Lepisosteus oculatus: one gene and its partner. The protein of the gene in region 1 purifies or fractionates together with the protein of each later gene. This does not show direct contact. Links are inferred from orthologs where the notes say so. Each region holds a gene or a part of one and is shown in the gene's direction. Other genes may lie near its edges.

What was found. The genes of interacting proteins can lie anywhere in the genome.
Region 2: the proteins of ep300a (region 1) and cited1 purify together in Homo sapiens (affinity purification with western blotting; 3 studies listed by BioGRID and IntAct, with this or other methods). This does not show direct contact. The link is inferred for Lepisosteus oculatus from reciprocal best matches to the Homo sapiens genes EP300 and CITED1.

Annotation. Positions count from the first base shown.
Region 1 is NC_090707.1:38,059,139-38,066,433, reverse strand, and holds the start of ep300a (histone acetyltransferase p300), read left to right. Parts: upstream 1-4,277; 5' UTR 4,278-5,651; intron 5,652-6,963; 5' UTR 6,964-7,295. Other genes in the region: xpnpep3 (xaa-Pro aminopeptidase 3), read left to right, coding at 1-55, 1,258-1,378, 1,923-2,089. UniProt on the Homo sapiens protein: Functions as a histone acetyltransferase and regulates transcription via chromatin remodeling. Acetylates all four core histones in nucleosomes. Histone acetylation gives an epigenetic tag for transcriptional activation.
Region 2 is NC_090703.1:40,622,528-40,630,534, reverse strand, and holds the start of cited1 (cbp/p300-interacting transactivator 1), read left to right. Parts: upstream 1-4,993; 5' UTR 4,994-5,242; intron 5,243-5,611; exon of another isoform or gene 5,612-6,199; intron 6,200-6,459; coding exon of another isoform or gene 6,460-6,507; intron 6,508-8,007. Other genes in the region: rps4x (small ribosomal subunit protein eS4), read left to right, coding at 6,460-6,507. UniProt on the Homo sapiens protein: Transcriptional coactivator of the p300/CBP-mediated transcription complex. Enhances SMAD-mediated transcription by strengthening the functional link between the DNA-binding SMAD transcription factors and the p300/CBP transcription coactivator complex.

The DNA of each region.
Region 1 (7,295 bases):
GCTGAAGGACCTGGGTATCGTCAGCTCCAGGGCCGGCGACGCCGACACGCACCGGGTAACTACAGCGCCCCCCGCTGGCCGGCCGCGGTACTTCAGTGGGGATTGTCACGCCGACACGCTTGCGCGGTTAAGCGTCGGCTCCTTTCTGGACACTGCGTCAGAGTGCACCGTCGCCGTAACACACAGCGGGTGACTACAGCGCCCCCCGCTGGACCGTGGCATATTGACTGCTCCCCCATCCGTCGTCGGGAGTCTCACTCGATCCCCCCCTGTCTCTTGAGCCCTGAGAAGACTTTGATTGAGAAGTCTTTTTCGGACCCTATAGAGATATTGCCGGCATCAGGCAGTTTCTCTCCGTGTCCGATGCCCAGTGCCTGATTGGTGCATTTATACTGGAACATGAGGCCGATTTCCACAGCTCTCCCCTGTGTGGGCTCCCCAGCACCCTCCTCTGTCAGCTGCACCTCCACTTCTTCCTCACTCCAGGCCTGGCCAGCGCCTCCCCCCGCCCCCCGCACTGGGGTCGTCAAAGCCCGGCAGGCGCGACAAGGTCCTGTCCCTGACCCCTGGGGCTCTGAGTCGCTTGTCTGAACTGCTCCTGTAGGCTCCGGGCAGCGGAGGCTGGCCCTCTCCTCGCTGCGCCCAGGCCTAGCGGTGGCCGAGCCCGGTCAGTCGCTGCTCCAGCGGGACGGACAGCCCTCCCCCCCGACCCCACGAGAGACAGTCTCTGCCTCTCTTCAGATCTCCACTCGAAACTCCCCTTTCTAGCAGGGCCCTCGTCGGCTTGCCCTGCGTGTTCCGGTGTCGTTTTTTTTTCCCCGTTTACTTTTAATCGTGCTTTTTGTTTAATCTGGTCTTCAACACCACGTACAGCGTCCTTGTGTCTAGAGATGATTATTTACTTTGTCAGCTTTTTAGCGCGATGCACAAGACGGCTAGCAAACCAGGGGAGTCTGGGCAGCCAGTCTGGCCCCTATGCCAGCTGGACAGGCAGCCAGACGCAGGCCCCTGGACAACACTTACTGCTGTGTCTTATTTCTGCTCCCCTGATGTTCGGATGTTCACTGTGGCAGCTACCGATGTGTCGAGTTTCTGTTTTGCTGCTCGGAGGAGGTGTGTTGCGGGCAGCTGTTTCTGTGCCAGCGCCCAGCTCGGGACAGCGGGTTTGTAGTCCTCTCCTCCGCTGGGGGAGACGGCCCGTGTCCCACTGCCTCTCTGACACGGCGGCGTGCTCTCTCTCTCTTCTGCCCCCTGCAGGCAGCCAGGCGCTACTGCCCTCACCACGTGGGGCACTACCTGGGCATGGACGTCCACGACACGCCTGACCTGTCCCGGGCACAACCGCTCCGCCCTGGCATGGCCATCACCATCGAACTGGGTACGAGACTCAGTGCAGTGTTAATGTGCTGGAGTGTCCAGTCAGTGTGTCTGTGTGAACCCCTCTCTCTCTCAGTGCAGTGTTCATGTACTGGAGTGTCCAGTCAGTGTGTCTGTATGAACCCCTCTCTCTCTCAGTGCAGTGTTCATGTACTGGAGTGTCCAGTCAGTGTGTCTGTATGAACCCCTCTCTCTCTCAGTGCAGTGTTCATGTACTGGAGTGTCCAGTCAGTGTGTCTGTATGAACCCCTCTCTCTCTCTCTCAGTGCAGTGTTCATGTACTGGAGTGTCCAGTCAGTGTGTCTGTATGAACCCCCCTCTCTCTCTCAGTGCAGTGTTCATGTACTGGAGTGTCCAGTCAGTGTGTCTGTATGAACCCCTCTCTCTCTCAGTGCAGTGTTCATGTACTGGAGTGTCCAGTCAGTGTGTCTGTATGAACCCCTCTCTCTCTCAGTGCAGTGTTCATGTACTGGAGTGTCCAGTCAGTGTGTCTGTATGAACCCCTCTCTCTCTCTCAGTCTCAGTCTCCTTTCTGTCTCCCCCAGGTCTGTACATCCCAGAGGATGACAGCAGCTGTCCGGAGCGATTCCGAGGGATGGGCGTGAGGATCGAGGATGACGTGCTCATCAGGGAGGAGGAGGAGGGTCCCCTGGTCCTGTCCGCCAACACCCCCAAAACCATGGAGGAGATCGAGAGGGCCTGCCGACAGTGACCGGGACTAACGGGGCAGGGGGGGGGTGGATGGGGTGAAGGAGAGCAGCTGGTAGAGGAACACAGACTTTTTAAACGCGCCCCGCTTCGGCCCCGCGCGGTATGCTCCCCTGGGTCAAGTCGTGGACGGTGGACACGGCGCCGCACGGATCTTCCGTTTCAGAGACGATCGGGTCAGTGGCGCTGACCGCCTCAGGACCCGGCAGCCCCACCCCGTTGATTACACGGGCCCGGGGGGGTGGGGGACCCGGTTGGAAAGAGGGGGTGCAGGTTTCTTCGGGGCCCGAACCGAAGCGAAACGGTTCTTTCGCGAAAGCTTCGACGGCGCCCCCCCCGCGGGACCCTCGCTCACGCGCTGCCCGAGGGGCTGTTCCGCGCCCCGCTCCTGGGCGGGGAGGGAGGGCAGAGGGCAGCCGAGCCGGGAGTTCTGCGGCGCCGGTCCAGGCGGGGCTCCGGGCTGGTACCCGGGAGGTGGTGGGTTCGAATCCCAGGGGTTCTGACGTCAGGGTGTTCCTCGGATCCCGGGGGGGGACCCGTGAGGACTGAGGCTCACCGCTCTGTGTTACCGGTTCGGCTGCGCCGGTCCGAGAGGCCGGGACTCTTGTGATCCGGCTTCTCCTGGTCTCCCTGTCTCCGGGTCTGTGTGCCTGTCCCTGAATAATAAAGTGTGGGATGCTCGGAGCTCTGCGTTCTGGGGTGCGGGCTGCGAGGGCTGTGTCTGTGTTTAGAAACGATCTTTCAAAGACCTTGATATTGGGTTCCAATACCCAGCTAATACAGAGATACCGTACTGTAAAAAGGCACTGTTCTTCGGGGGATGTGTAAAATCAAGGTGCTGACTCCGATCATTAAAAATCCCGGGGTGTATTGGAAAAGAGTAGGGGTGTCACCCCAGTGTCCTGGCCAAATCTCCCCCTGGCCTTTACCAGTCATGGCCTCCTAATAACCCCCCCTCTCTGAACTGGCTCCATCACTCTGCTCTCCTCCCCACTGGGAGCTGGTGTGTGGGGAGCAGACTGGAGCATCATCCAGGTGGGGCTGCACATTGGTGGTGGTGGAGGGGATCCCCATGACCTGTCCAGCGCTGTGAGTGGGGTGTCCAGAAGGGTGCTGTAGAAGTGTGAGGAATCATTCTCTCACAGGACAGCTGACCTTGTCCACTGGGCTTGGCTCACCGGACTGACGCCCCCTCAACCCTGCCCAGGCGGGGCTATGTGGGTCCCCTCCCTTCTCCCCTGATAGAACCCCCTACCCCCCCCTCTTTTTATAGTTCCTGTCTCCCCAGATTCTCCAGGTACCGCACCAGTACATTACAGGGACTTTACTGAACCCTGAACACTCACACACAGAGACATGGAGTGATTCTGTCATGCTCCCTGCCTTCACAGCAGCAGTTGAACTGAGTGTTCAACAGCTGTCGGTCCCACACTCGTCTGTCCACTGCTGAGCGATGTGTCCCCTCCTCAAATGAACTTTTTCTAAGTGCATCGCGCCTGTACCAACTGCAGGTGGGATGGTGAGACAGTGAGGTGCAGATCTCCCCAGAGTTTGGACCCAAGGAAGGCTGCAGGAGGGGGTAACTGGTGTTGGGGAGGGGGTTATTATTTTGGGAGAATAAGCAGACAGAGCTCCCAGCTGGCGTGAGCCTGGCCAGTACCTGGAGGGGAGACCTTAGGATGAGACGTAAAACCGAGGTCCTGACTCTCTGTGGTCGTTAGAAATCCCACATTGTTTCTCGACAAGATTAGGGGTGTAACCCCGGTGTCCTGGCCAAATCTCCCCCTGGCCTTTACCCATCATGGCCTCCTAATAACTCCCCTCTCTTGAACTGGCTCCATCACTCTGCTCTCCTCCCCACTGGGAGCTGGTGTGTGGGGAGCGGACTGGAGCATCATCCAGGTGGGGGATGGAGGGTGGTGGTGGTGGAGGGGATCCCCCACGACCTGTACAGCGTACAGCGTGAGTGGAGTGTCCAGAAAAGCGCTGCATAAGTGTAAGCAATTATGATGATGACGGTGATCTTCGAGCGCCCCCTGGCGTCGGTCACCCGCTAGCGCCGTTCCGGAAAAGAGCGAGTCCGGGGGGTTTCCGGAAATTCCCGAACACAACCCCCCCGCCTCCTCCTCCTCTTTTTCGAATACATCGCCGCTCTGCTCTCTAGCTTACCCTCCCCCCCCCTCCGCTCCCGTGTCGGAGGAGTAGAAACAACAAGCCGCCATTTTGTTTGCGCGGAGAGACCGAGCGCGGCTGGAGAGACCCGAGAGAGGGAGCGACCACAGCGCCGAGCACAGCGACCCGGAGAGCGGCCGCCCGACCAGCCCGGAGCCGACACAGCGGCAGCGTGGACCCGGAGAAGACGGCGAGAGACGGGGGGCACAGCGCGGAAACGGAGAGTCGGGGACGAGGACAAGGAAGAGGAGCGAGAGAGAGAGAGAGGAGAGAGAAAAAAAGAAGAAGGGAGAGAAAATCCGCTTTTAAGACGTCCAAGGAAGGAAAGAAGGGGGGATTTTTTTTTCTCTTTTCACGCGGAGCGGAGGACAAGCGGAAGCTGGGGAGCATTTTCTGCGTTTTAGAAACGGAGGGACGCTGAAAAGGCGACGGGAGGGAAAAAAAAATTCTTTTGGAAGTGGGGGGGGGGGTTGGTGGCGGCGGCGGTGGTGGAGAAATACAAGCGCATCGCGTCCGGAGACGAAGAATTATTATTAAAAATAATATTCATCCTCCTCCTCCTCCTCCTCCACCGAGCGAGCGGGGGGAGACATACGAGCAGACGTACACACGGAGGGAGAGAGAGAGAGAGGAGACGAGGAAATATCGGCGAAACGGGAACCCCAACCGTTAGAGAGCGGAGAGAAGACGAAGGATTGCTTTTTTTTTTTAAGAAAAAAGGGGGGGAGCAGACGGATATAATCGACCCCGCAGGCAGGCGGCGAGAGACGGGGGTTTGAGGGTCACCACACAAAAGACTCCGGGGGGGGGACGTGCGCTTTCCTTTCTGCTGGCGTGGAGGGGAGACTCCCGGGTTTCTTTAAATGCCCCCAGCCCCGCCGCTCGCTCAGTTCACCCCCTGAATCATAGCAGCGACACCCCCATCTCCCATCCGCCCGGTCCGGACTCCAGCACGCCGGGGGGGGGCACCGACTCCTCGCCATCGCCGGGACCCAGCACATCGCGCCGTTGGAGAGGACCGACGAGAGGCGACCTGTCCCGTTTGCACCACGCCGGCCATCCCTCCCTCCTCCTCCTCCTCCTCCTCCTGTGCGGCCGGAGACCCCCCACCCCGGTGCCGGTGTCTGCCGGGCGGGTTGAATCCGGTGGCGGCCGTCCTGCGCGCAGTTTGTGCGTGTTTTTGGGCTCCGGGACAAGCGTGGCCACCCCGCACCGGCAGGAGCGGCACGGCGGCTCCTTCTTCCACAGTTGTGTTGGGAACCAAGGAAGAACAGTGGATTGAAAATCCGTTTTGAGCCCTGGCGTGGCCCAGACGCCGTGAGATAACAAGGGATACCTGTGCATCTGCGTCCGTCATAACCAAGACTCTCCCCGGCGTCAACCTGCGCTTTCTTGTAAGGTGGCATTCAAAAAAACCTAATAATAATCATCATAATAATCATATCTGAACCCCGTTTTGTTTTTTGTTTTTTAATTCCAACATATTACACAGAGAGAGGGCGCAAGATCGCGAAGTGATCGATACTGTGACAACTAGTTTTTTTTTCCACCCCTGAAAGACTGCTGACCGTCACAATGCGAGAAACAAAGTCACATTAGCCCGCCGCTGACATCACTAGAGTGAAACCAAACACTTATTTTTTTTGTAATAAGTGGGTTTTTTTTGTTGTTGTTGTTGTTGTGGTAATTAATAAAAGAGAGGGGCGCCCTGACCAAGTTGCAGTTTTTGAAACCGGGCATGCCAAACCTTTCCTCTCTGGTCATGTGCTAGCGTAGCGGCCCGGTGTTGTGAACTTCCGTTGCAGATCGATCCCCCCCAAAAAAAAGCTGCAAGAAATACAAACGGGTTTTTTTTTTTACTTTAAAAAAATAAAAAACATTGCCAAAGTTGACCCCCCACCACCACCACCACCACCCAAAGTTTCAGCCCTTGCAGCTCAATCAAGCGCTTTGATTGAGTTTGGCAATCGATAGAGGCGATCATCCTCACCGGCCAGGTCTCCCAAACATTTTTAAAAGAAGCCCTCATTCCCGCTTTGAAAAAAAACACGGCGTGAAGCGCGGCTCCACGAAAAAACAACAACTTTTTCATATCGATCACAGATATCGGGAGGCGCCTCGGAAGGTATCGCATCCCACTCGCGCCGATACGACACGCCGGGGAGACGATTAAGTCGTTCGCCCGGTTTGTCGTACCCTCACAGAAATCGACTTTATTTAATTTTTTTTAATCAATTTCTAACACCCGCCGGCAGATGTGCGTGTGATCATGCGCATTGATCGGAAGTTGCTCCCGTTTCTCTGAGCCGGTCTCAGCTGTTCGTGTGAGGTGAGGGGGGTGTTAGAGAGAGTTGGGGGGTACAGGCGGGTCCGAGGGGAGGGAGGTGGGGTGTGACCGACCTGGGCGCCCGTAGGGCCAGCCCGTCCCGAACCGAGCCCGAACCCGGCGTGCGCCCTTTTACGAAGAAAGAAAATATATATATTTTTTTTTAAAAAACCCAACACAAGTATTACCTTTCCAGGACGGGGGGGTGGGGATGGCGTCGGGGGTTTTGTATTGTGAAGAATAATTACCTCCTGGCCCTCGTTCGGGTGCGACTTTTTTTTAACCTCGTCTCTCTCTTTCTCTCTCCCCTCCTTCTTCATTTAATTTTTTTCCACCCTCCCCAAACCCACCTACCCACCACCACCAACAACAACAAAAAGGGAAATAATTCAGATTATCTCTCGCCTTGGCCTCCGGAGATGGTAGAAAACGCAGACGGAGCCCTGGAGGACCCTGCCCGGGACATCTTGATCTGCGCCGAGGAAGCTACATGAGTTAATCCGGAGGGCCTTTCTCTCTCCCAGCGACTCGGAGACTTTCTCTTCCTCCTCCCCTCCTCCTCCTCCCGTCACTACTACTACAACTACTACTGCTGCAGCAGCTAGGAGCCGAAATCTGTGAAGGAGCAACACCACAACACAACCCAAAAAACGCCCGGAGGAGGAGGGGAGGGGAAGTTTTGAACGCCAAATCCGAAAAAGAGACGACGAGG
Region 2 (8,007 bases), on another chromosome or scaffold:
GCAGAAGCCTTCCTTTAATCAAAATGCAGTTTTATTAAAACGTTTAATTCATATGGGGAGGCGTGCAAGTGTTTGTCTATTTCCAAACTGTTTAAAATGTTATAGTTTAAAACTGTTATACTGTAGTTCCTCTTTTATGTCAAGATGTGAAATATGTTTTTGATTTGTTCCTGCAAATTTGAAAACTGCATGTTGTCTTTCAGTGTAAATAGATTTCTTATAAAAACAGTAATGTAACTGTGTTGTGTTTTATTACATGTCTGTTGGAACTAAAATAATCTCATAACCTTCAGCCAGAGGGTTAAAAATGAATGCGGTCACCAAATAAGCTATGATAGTAATAAAAGTTCCAGATCTTCAGGTCAATTAGTGGAAATGCTTGCTACTAATCCCAGTATAGTTTTTCTTCATTTTTTACAGTTATATTCTGGATAAACTTCTCTTAAGGTTTTGTAAACCACTCAAGACGAATTGTGGAATAATGTATTTTTTCGAACGCCAGATTCAGCTGCTTTTGGTGGTCTTAAGATTTAACTGATAGTCTATGTGGTATATCAGTTGCTCTCCTCAATTACATTCGGATAAACAGAAATGATGACTAAGCTTTCCAGAATTCTTTCATGTGTACTTCCTTAATTCTGTCTTCTGAATTCATATGAACTCTTAAGACATTCCACAGAAGAAAAATGTTAGCTTGCTGTCTTAGCTTTTGTCCTATTCACTCCCAGGTACCCATCTTAAACTGTAATAATTGTTTGCATTAATATGGAGCTTCCGATATTTAAGGATCAAAAGTACTTTAATTGGAAATAGGACGAAATCCATTGCATAAAGCACTGAAGCACCACAGGACAGCAATCCTGGTGAAATGAGACGCTGCTTCACCAGCTGAATTAAGGAGTAACTTTAGTGAGGTCAGATTGTAAAAGACCAGAGTGGAACTATTATGAACAATACCCTGGCATCTTTAATGACAATCAGTCAGGATCTCAGTTTAACATCTCATCTGAAGAACCAGTGCAATGCGTAGTTCTAGGTTTCTATACTACCTGTGATCTCAGCTATTTAATTCCACTAATTACTATCTTTCACCATGCTTAAAAGCTTTGGATTTTATGAAACCCCTCAAACCGTGCTGACTTCTGAGCTTCAGAGTAAAGTTGTTTTATTTTTTATCAGTTTTCTTAGTTTGTCAGTTTTAGATGCATGATCACAGTCTAGTCCTGACAGTCTTTCACAGTGCCACAGCAGACTGTACCTACTGGGTTTATGGAAAAACTGAGACAATATGTTTAGGAATGTGACTTATAATAATAGCCCTTATTTGGAGAGAGAGATGTCCCTGGTGTTAGTGCATAGTAACCTCAGGCAGCATCTCGCAGGATTTGGCAGGATGAGCTCCATTTCCATTGCAGGACTTAATTCCGAAAGCATTAATTCATTTTTTAAAAACATTTGGCAGCATTATGCGATTAAAACTCTTGGAAGTAATGCAGTCCAGGGGGGGAATTAAGAAATAGAAAAGAGTTCATATACAGTAGAAATTAGGGAACAGGCCTAGTCACGCTGCACTGGTTTGAATGTTGGTGGTTGGAAGCTTGTTGGGAGACGTCCCACAGTTGACCACAGACTGGAAGCTGTGGCCTAAATGTTTGTTGACTTGGGAAAGCAGGTGCAGGTGGTCCTCCAGGCAGCTTTGTGACAAACACGGACAGCGTCCTCTGTTGTTCCTTCACTTGGAAAACGGCTTGTGTCTGTGCGAGTCTGGGGAGACAGGCCTTCTCCTCTCAGGGCCAGGGTCCCACCTGACGCCAGTTAATACCCAGCAAGCCGGCACAACACTGACGGGAGAAAAGGGAGCTCCTCTGCTCTATCCCTCTATCACAGGCTGTTTCTTGCAAAGAGTAGGGCTGTTACACCAGTGTCCTGGCCAGATTTCCCCCTGGCCTCAACCAATCATGGCCTCCTAATAATCCCCATCTATGAATTGCCTTCATTACTCTGTTCTCCACCCCCCTGATAGCTGGTGTCTGGTGAGCAGACTGGCACACGTTTGCTTCCATTACATCTTTCATAAGTGGTGCTGGAGGGGAGTCCCCATTACCTGTAAAAAGGAATTATTTTCTTTACAAGCAAGTCAGCAGGCCTTTCCATCCCACTCAGGCCGATAAACCATCAACAGACTGGATCCTCCAGTCAAGCCTCAGGTTCTGCCTACTGTATATATACAATGGCCAAAGATACTGCAAGTGAGACCCACCTGATCTCATCAGAGAGCAGCCTCTGGAACAGCTTCCTTGAAAGCTTTTATGCAAAATCCAGTTCTTTTGTTTTAATGCTAAAGCCAGGGGCATGGAGAATCAGCCCAACCTGTGTGTGGCAGCCCTCGCACAAACTCCATATCCAATCATTAATCTGACAGCTACAGTATATATATGGCCAGCAGCCATATCACCCTGCAACTCACAAGTGGCAACCCACTGAAGCTAAGCAGGTGTTAGCCTGGTCAGTACCTGGATGAGAGACCTCCTGGGAAAAACTAAGGTTGCTGCTGGAAGTGTTAGTGGGGCCAGCTCACCCTGCAGTCCATGTGGGACCTAATGCCGTCCTTCGGATGAGATGTCCTGACTCTCTGTGGTCATTAAAAATCCCAGGGCTCTTCTCGAAAAGAGTAGGGGTGTAACCCCAGTGTCCTGGCCAAATTTCCAATTGGCCCTTACCAATCATGGCCTCCTAATAATCCCCCTCTATGAATTGGCTACATTACTCTGCTCTCCTCCCCACTGATAGCTGATGTGGGGTGAGTGTTCTGGTGCACTATGGCTGCTGTCTCATCATCCAGGTAAATCATCCACATTGGTTGTGGTGGAGGGGAGTCCCCATTACCTGTAAAGTGCTTTGAGTGGAGTGTCCAGAAAAGCGCTATATAATTGTAAGCAATTATTATTATTATTATTATTATTATTATTATTATTATTATTATAGGAGAGCTTTGAAGAAACGTTTTTTTCTTTAGTTTTGTAGATAAGATTTCTTGCAAAAATGTTAGTCTCAGAAAGAGATTGGCGTATTTTTATTGAAAACATGTTGGTGTCTAATTTATTTTAACCGAAAATCGTGTTTTCAATACTGTGTTTATATTTCCGTTTTTTAATGCATTATTAATTATTCTGTTATTTGCTCTGTAGCTCGTCTCATTGTCACACGTCTTCCGGCGGTTAATGTGTTAGCAGAAGGAATACAGAAATAACTTCTGGAACAAAGTAATTATTGATGACTCTTCAGGTTAGAGTCTGGAAAACCGAAAACGGTTTCCTCGATTTGCATATGTTTTCCCATAAGGGAAAGACATCCCTGAGCTGAGCTTCTCCGTCTTTTCTATCGAGCGTTAATTGTCAAATCTGTTTGTACACTGAATGGCTGTTGAGTCTTTCGCACAATACGCCAGCTGTGCTTTTTTTTGACAGTTAAACTGACAAAAAGCTGAAAGCATCGGAGTGAAATCCGAGTTCGCTGTATAATTCCGTGAGGAATGAGTATTCTTGTAATTAATGAGTTAAACTGAGTCAAGGTTAATCAAAAAATGTGAAAATATCGCAGGGGTCGTGTCGTGTCGTTAATGTCATCCACGTTTTGTATGAAACGCTCAATGATGAATAATGCACCTTTGCAAAACGTATCTGTAAAGCGTTTTATTCAAATACTAATACAGAATGAAAACTACAGGAGCTTTGAATTTTCTCATAACGTTTTAGAGTTTTTCTTTGTAGAAGTACCTTTTCAAAATGTTTGTACTGTAATTGAAATGTTAGTCGTCACAACAGCGATTCCTAAAATGTATGGATAGCATTATTTTGGTACTGTAAAAATAACCGCATACGAGTTTACTCTTCAACCCCATACCTAACAAAAAATATAAAAAACAATACAAAAATACTGTGCTTATATGCGCTTCTCTCAGTGCTTTCTTAAATTATTACATGTATTTAGAAATGAAGTTTAATTAATGCGGAACAAAATGATTTCATTGTTTTTTTTCTGTTTGGTAAAATGCCGGAGCGACTTATTATTATTATTATTATTATTATTATTATTATTATTATTATTATTATTATTAGCTGTTATCGGGTTCAGTGGACACCTGAACTGATCAATTTTGTTTTTTATGTGGTGAGACGTCGAACGACCTGTGTCACGGCTCTGTGTTTTAGTCAATAACCGAGGTAAAGTGTTACTGAACTGCTGATTATCCAGACCTTTTGTAAATAGCGAACATCTGCACACTTTCACAGTATGGTTGACTACAAAACCCGGCTAGTCCTTCTTCTGTCGCGCGATGAGTTTAAATCAATTTCCAACCCACCCACGAAGTGGGACATTGACACGGGGTTCTTGGTAAATGTTCAAACCGTTGTGAGCATAAATAGTTTGCACACAAAGAATTAGCCTTGCAAGACGAGCTGTTGTGATATTTTAGGAAGTTTGTGTGGTTTTTATTATTTTTAGAACAAGACATTGTCTGGTGGGGACGGGAATGTGCCACAGGTTTGCTGAATTAAACAGCGGAAGAAAAAAGCAACAGAAAATTCAGATTGAACCAGGGACTGATTTAATAAGCAAGCCTTGTAACAATAAATGACCTCTTTCGAGTTGCTAGGAAAATTACTTCAAGCGGTGGATTAACCAGTTCAGGCATCTTTTCAGAGCTTTTCAAATTGGTTGGCCTCTAGTTTTAGTATTAAAAAAAAACGTTTCAAAGCGCACAAATAAACATTTAAACCATCAATGGAGACGTTTGCAACAGGCACGCCAAGGCCGGTTTCGTTTTGAGGTGAATATTTAATTTTAGCGGACTTTGGAGTTTGAAATAAAGGATGCGTCGGTCCCAGCCGGCTCCAGTCCGGGTGTTACTGTTATCTTGGGAAGCGCGGTGGAGCGGTGTATATAGAGTGGGGTTTGAGGTTCACTAATCATTCATTGCTAGAATGGGTGCTCAGGGTCTGGTCCTCTTGGGTACATATTTGGGATACTGGTCTCCATGAATTAATTTCGACGAATAGTAGCCTCTGTGATTATTTGCAGAAGTTGCAAATTCTTCTTTTCATCAAGGAAGAAGATTTTTCTTTTTAATTAGCCTAAATCCCCTTCTGTAATGATTTAATACCTTTTTTTTCTCGTACTTGTGGATATAGTTTCATTTCACATTCCTGGATCTCCACAGTTCTGAAAGTCACTTTCGAAGGTAAAAAAGCAAAACGCTGTTGTTGGTTTTTTTGTTGCTAATAAATTATTGAGGGGTGATACGGTGCAGTTATCAATATTTCCGCTAAGCAAGTACGTGTTATATTTAATGAGAGACTTATTTCTGTGTAGCTTAGTAAGACATCGCCTCATTGCTTATAACATTGTGCTTAAACAAGTTTGTGAATGTACGCATAGCCTATCTGAAAGTCACTCGTGAGCGGGGAAAAATCCAACTTTTTGATTGTTCAAACCCTTTTCAGTGTTTTTAAAGAATTAACACAAAATATCGATTTATTATAGTTGCAATTCGGAAATCGGGAAGATCTGAAATCTGTAAAAATCTACGTGGTCGTCTACTGTTTATACACAGCTGTATAATTGCAAGTATATTTTACCTAAATTCCTGGTCTGTGAATTTCAAGTTTCACACGTTTGCTTTAGAATTGGTTAGGAAAAACTGGAAACTGCTAACAACCAGTCCGGATTTGGAATTCAAAGCGTTTTTTAATATCCTATTGCAATAAACTAGGAAACCCTTATTTTGTGAGTTAACCCGCCAGTAGGCTGTTTTCCCTTTATTTAGTTTAGTTTCCAACAATTTCACTTGACTTTGAGGCGGGGTGGCGCGTCAAAGCGTAAACGCAATCTGCTGGGCTCAGAATGCGCCCTCATTTGAAAAGGCAGGGCTATCGAAATACCCAGACGAACTTGTAAAAATGTATTATACGTTGCCATTTGTTTTGGTTGCAGTTTGCGTTAATTGGTATTAATCGTCGTTCCGGGTTGTCAATTAACCTAAAACGCAAACGTCGCTCAGCTGTCACAGCCAATTCGCGCAGGACCGGGCGAGGAGACTGTTTTTACCAGAGCCACACGAAGAGCAAAACACACACTCGCAGGCGAAGGTTCGTTTAGTAACTTGGGGAGCACTTCCAGATGTTCAGTTGTCCAAATTGTAAGTCCCTTTTCTTTAATTAAACATTTCACTGGGAAATTATCGAGAACTGTTGCCCTTTGTGACCACGGCAATTTACTTATTCCATTTCAACTGGATACCCGAGGGGGCAAGAGCTGTGAAAATCCGATTACTCCTCCAGAGATGGAGCTACAGAATGAGTAAAGAGCCTCTGCAGTGTACTGCCGTCCGATATCTAGCATCGCTCATTAAGTTAATAGGGGTTTATGCAGCTTGTAGCTTCATAGTTGTAAGGTCCCATGAGTGCCCACGTAATGAAACCCGTTTATGTAAGTTCCCCCGCCATGCTAGAATACTGGCGCTCTGCCTGGAAGTGTAGGCACCTGTAGATACTGTACTGCTTCATCTAGCTGACAGGTTGCATGGCACACTAGTGGGGGGAGGGGAATGACTGTACTGGGGTCTCCCCGTGGAAACCACAAGCCCTTCACAGATGGAAGTGTGAGCTGTTAGGACTAATTCATGAGATGCTCACTGAAAGATCAGTCCAACCCTGATCCTGAGAGCATTCCATTGGGGGGCTTCATTCCTGTAGTCCCATTGCATTAAAGTTCTAAGTAACTGCACAAACAGCACAGTTATATATATATATGTAGTGTGTGTGTAATGTATGTGTTTCCTGCTGGCTAGAAGCACTTTTTGTGTCAAGCCCCTTGTAAGAACTGTAGAATTCCAACAGGGCTGCCCTCACAAGTGTGTGTGTGTCTGAAGTATACATCAGAGGTACAGATGCGGAGCTCCTAGCTTCTGTGCAGGTCTGTTCCAGCCAGCTCTGTGAATGCGTTACTGAATTCATTCCCAATCTGCTAAGCAAGCACTGAAGGGACTAGAACGGTCCTTTCAGGAGTCTGCAATAGTCATTTTCTCTAGGGTCTGAGAGACATTGGTGGTGGTGGAGGGGAGTCCCCATTACCTGTAAAGCGCTTTGAGTGGAGTGTCCAGAAAAGCGCTATATAAGTGTAAGCAATTATTATTATTATTATTATTATTATTATTATTATTATTATTATTATTACATGTAAATTGGATGATTCAAAGGTGTTCCACTAATTAACATGATTGTATAGTTGATTTACAATAAAAAAGAATTTGGCCTTTGCAGAGTTCTTGGGGGGGGGGGGACTGGAGACTGGCTTCCACAGATACAAAGCCTTAACTGTTCTTCAGATGTCCTTTGGAAGTGCCCTGATGGTTGTGTGTTTGTTAAATGGCTGTCAAGGGGTTCCAGCACCAGGACAGCTCTGCCGGCTGTATCACCCTTGCCCAGTGCCCTGCACACAGCACACAGGAGCCCCTGGATGCGAGGGAGAGAACTGTGGGGCCTGACCGTGCCGCCTCTCTCTGAATAAGGTTTACAGCTGTGTCCCAGCCTTTAGCAATTACCCTGACCCCAGATGGGGAGCTGGGCTTGTGGAGGCGGGGAGGAGTTGCTGGCTTAATTAAGTGATTACATTTCTCAAAGGCATGCCTCATGGCAGTGATGGCTAGCGTGATGTTCAGAGGAAAGGTTCCCCTCTGGAGAGGGTAAGATAACCCTGCCTTTAATTTTGGTCACTTGAGTACTTTCTTCTTGTAGTGGGACTGGGGACCACACAGAGCTATCTGGGCATTGCTCGTGATCGCTCTGCATTTAAATCCAGCTAGTGCCCCTGTGTGATCCTGCCATGAAAAGATGAAAAGCTGTAGGCTGATGACTTTCTTTTTTTCTTTTAGAGTGGCCAAGAAGTGGTAATATATGTCCTTCATAGGCACAAGAACTGTAGCAGGTGCTGTTTTTTTTTTAGTGG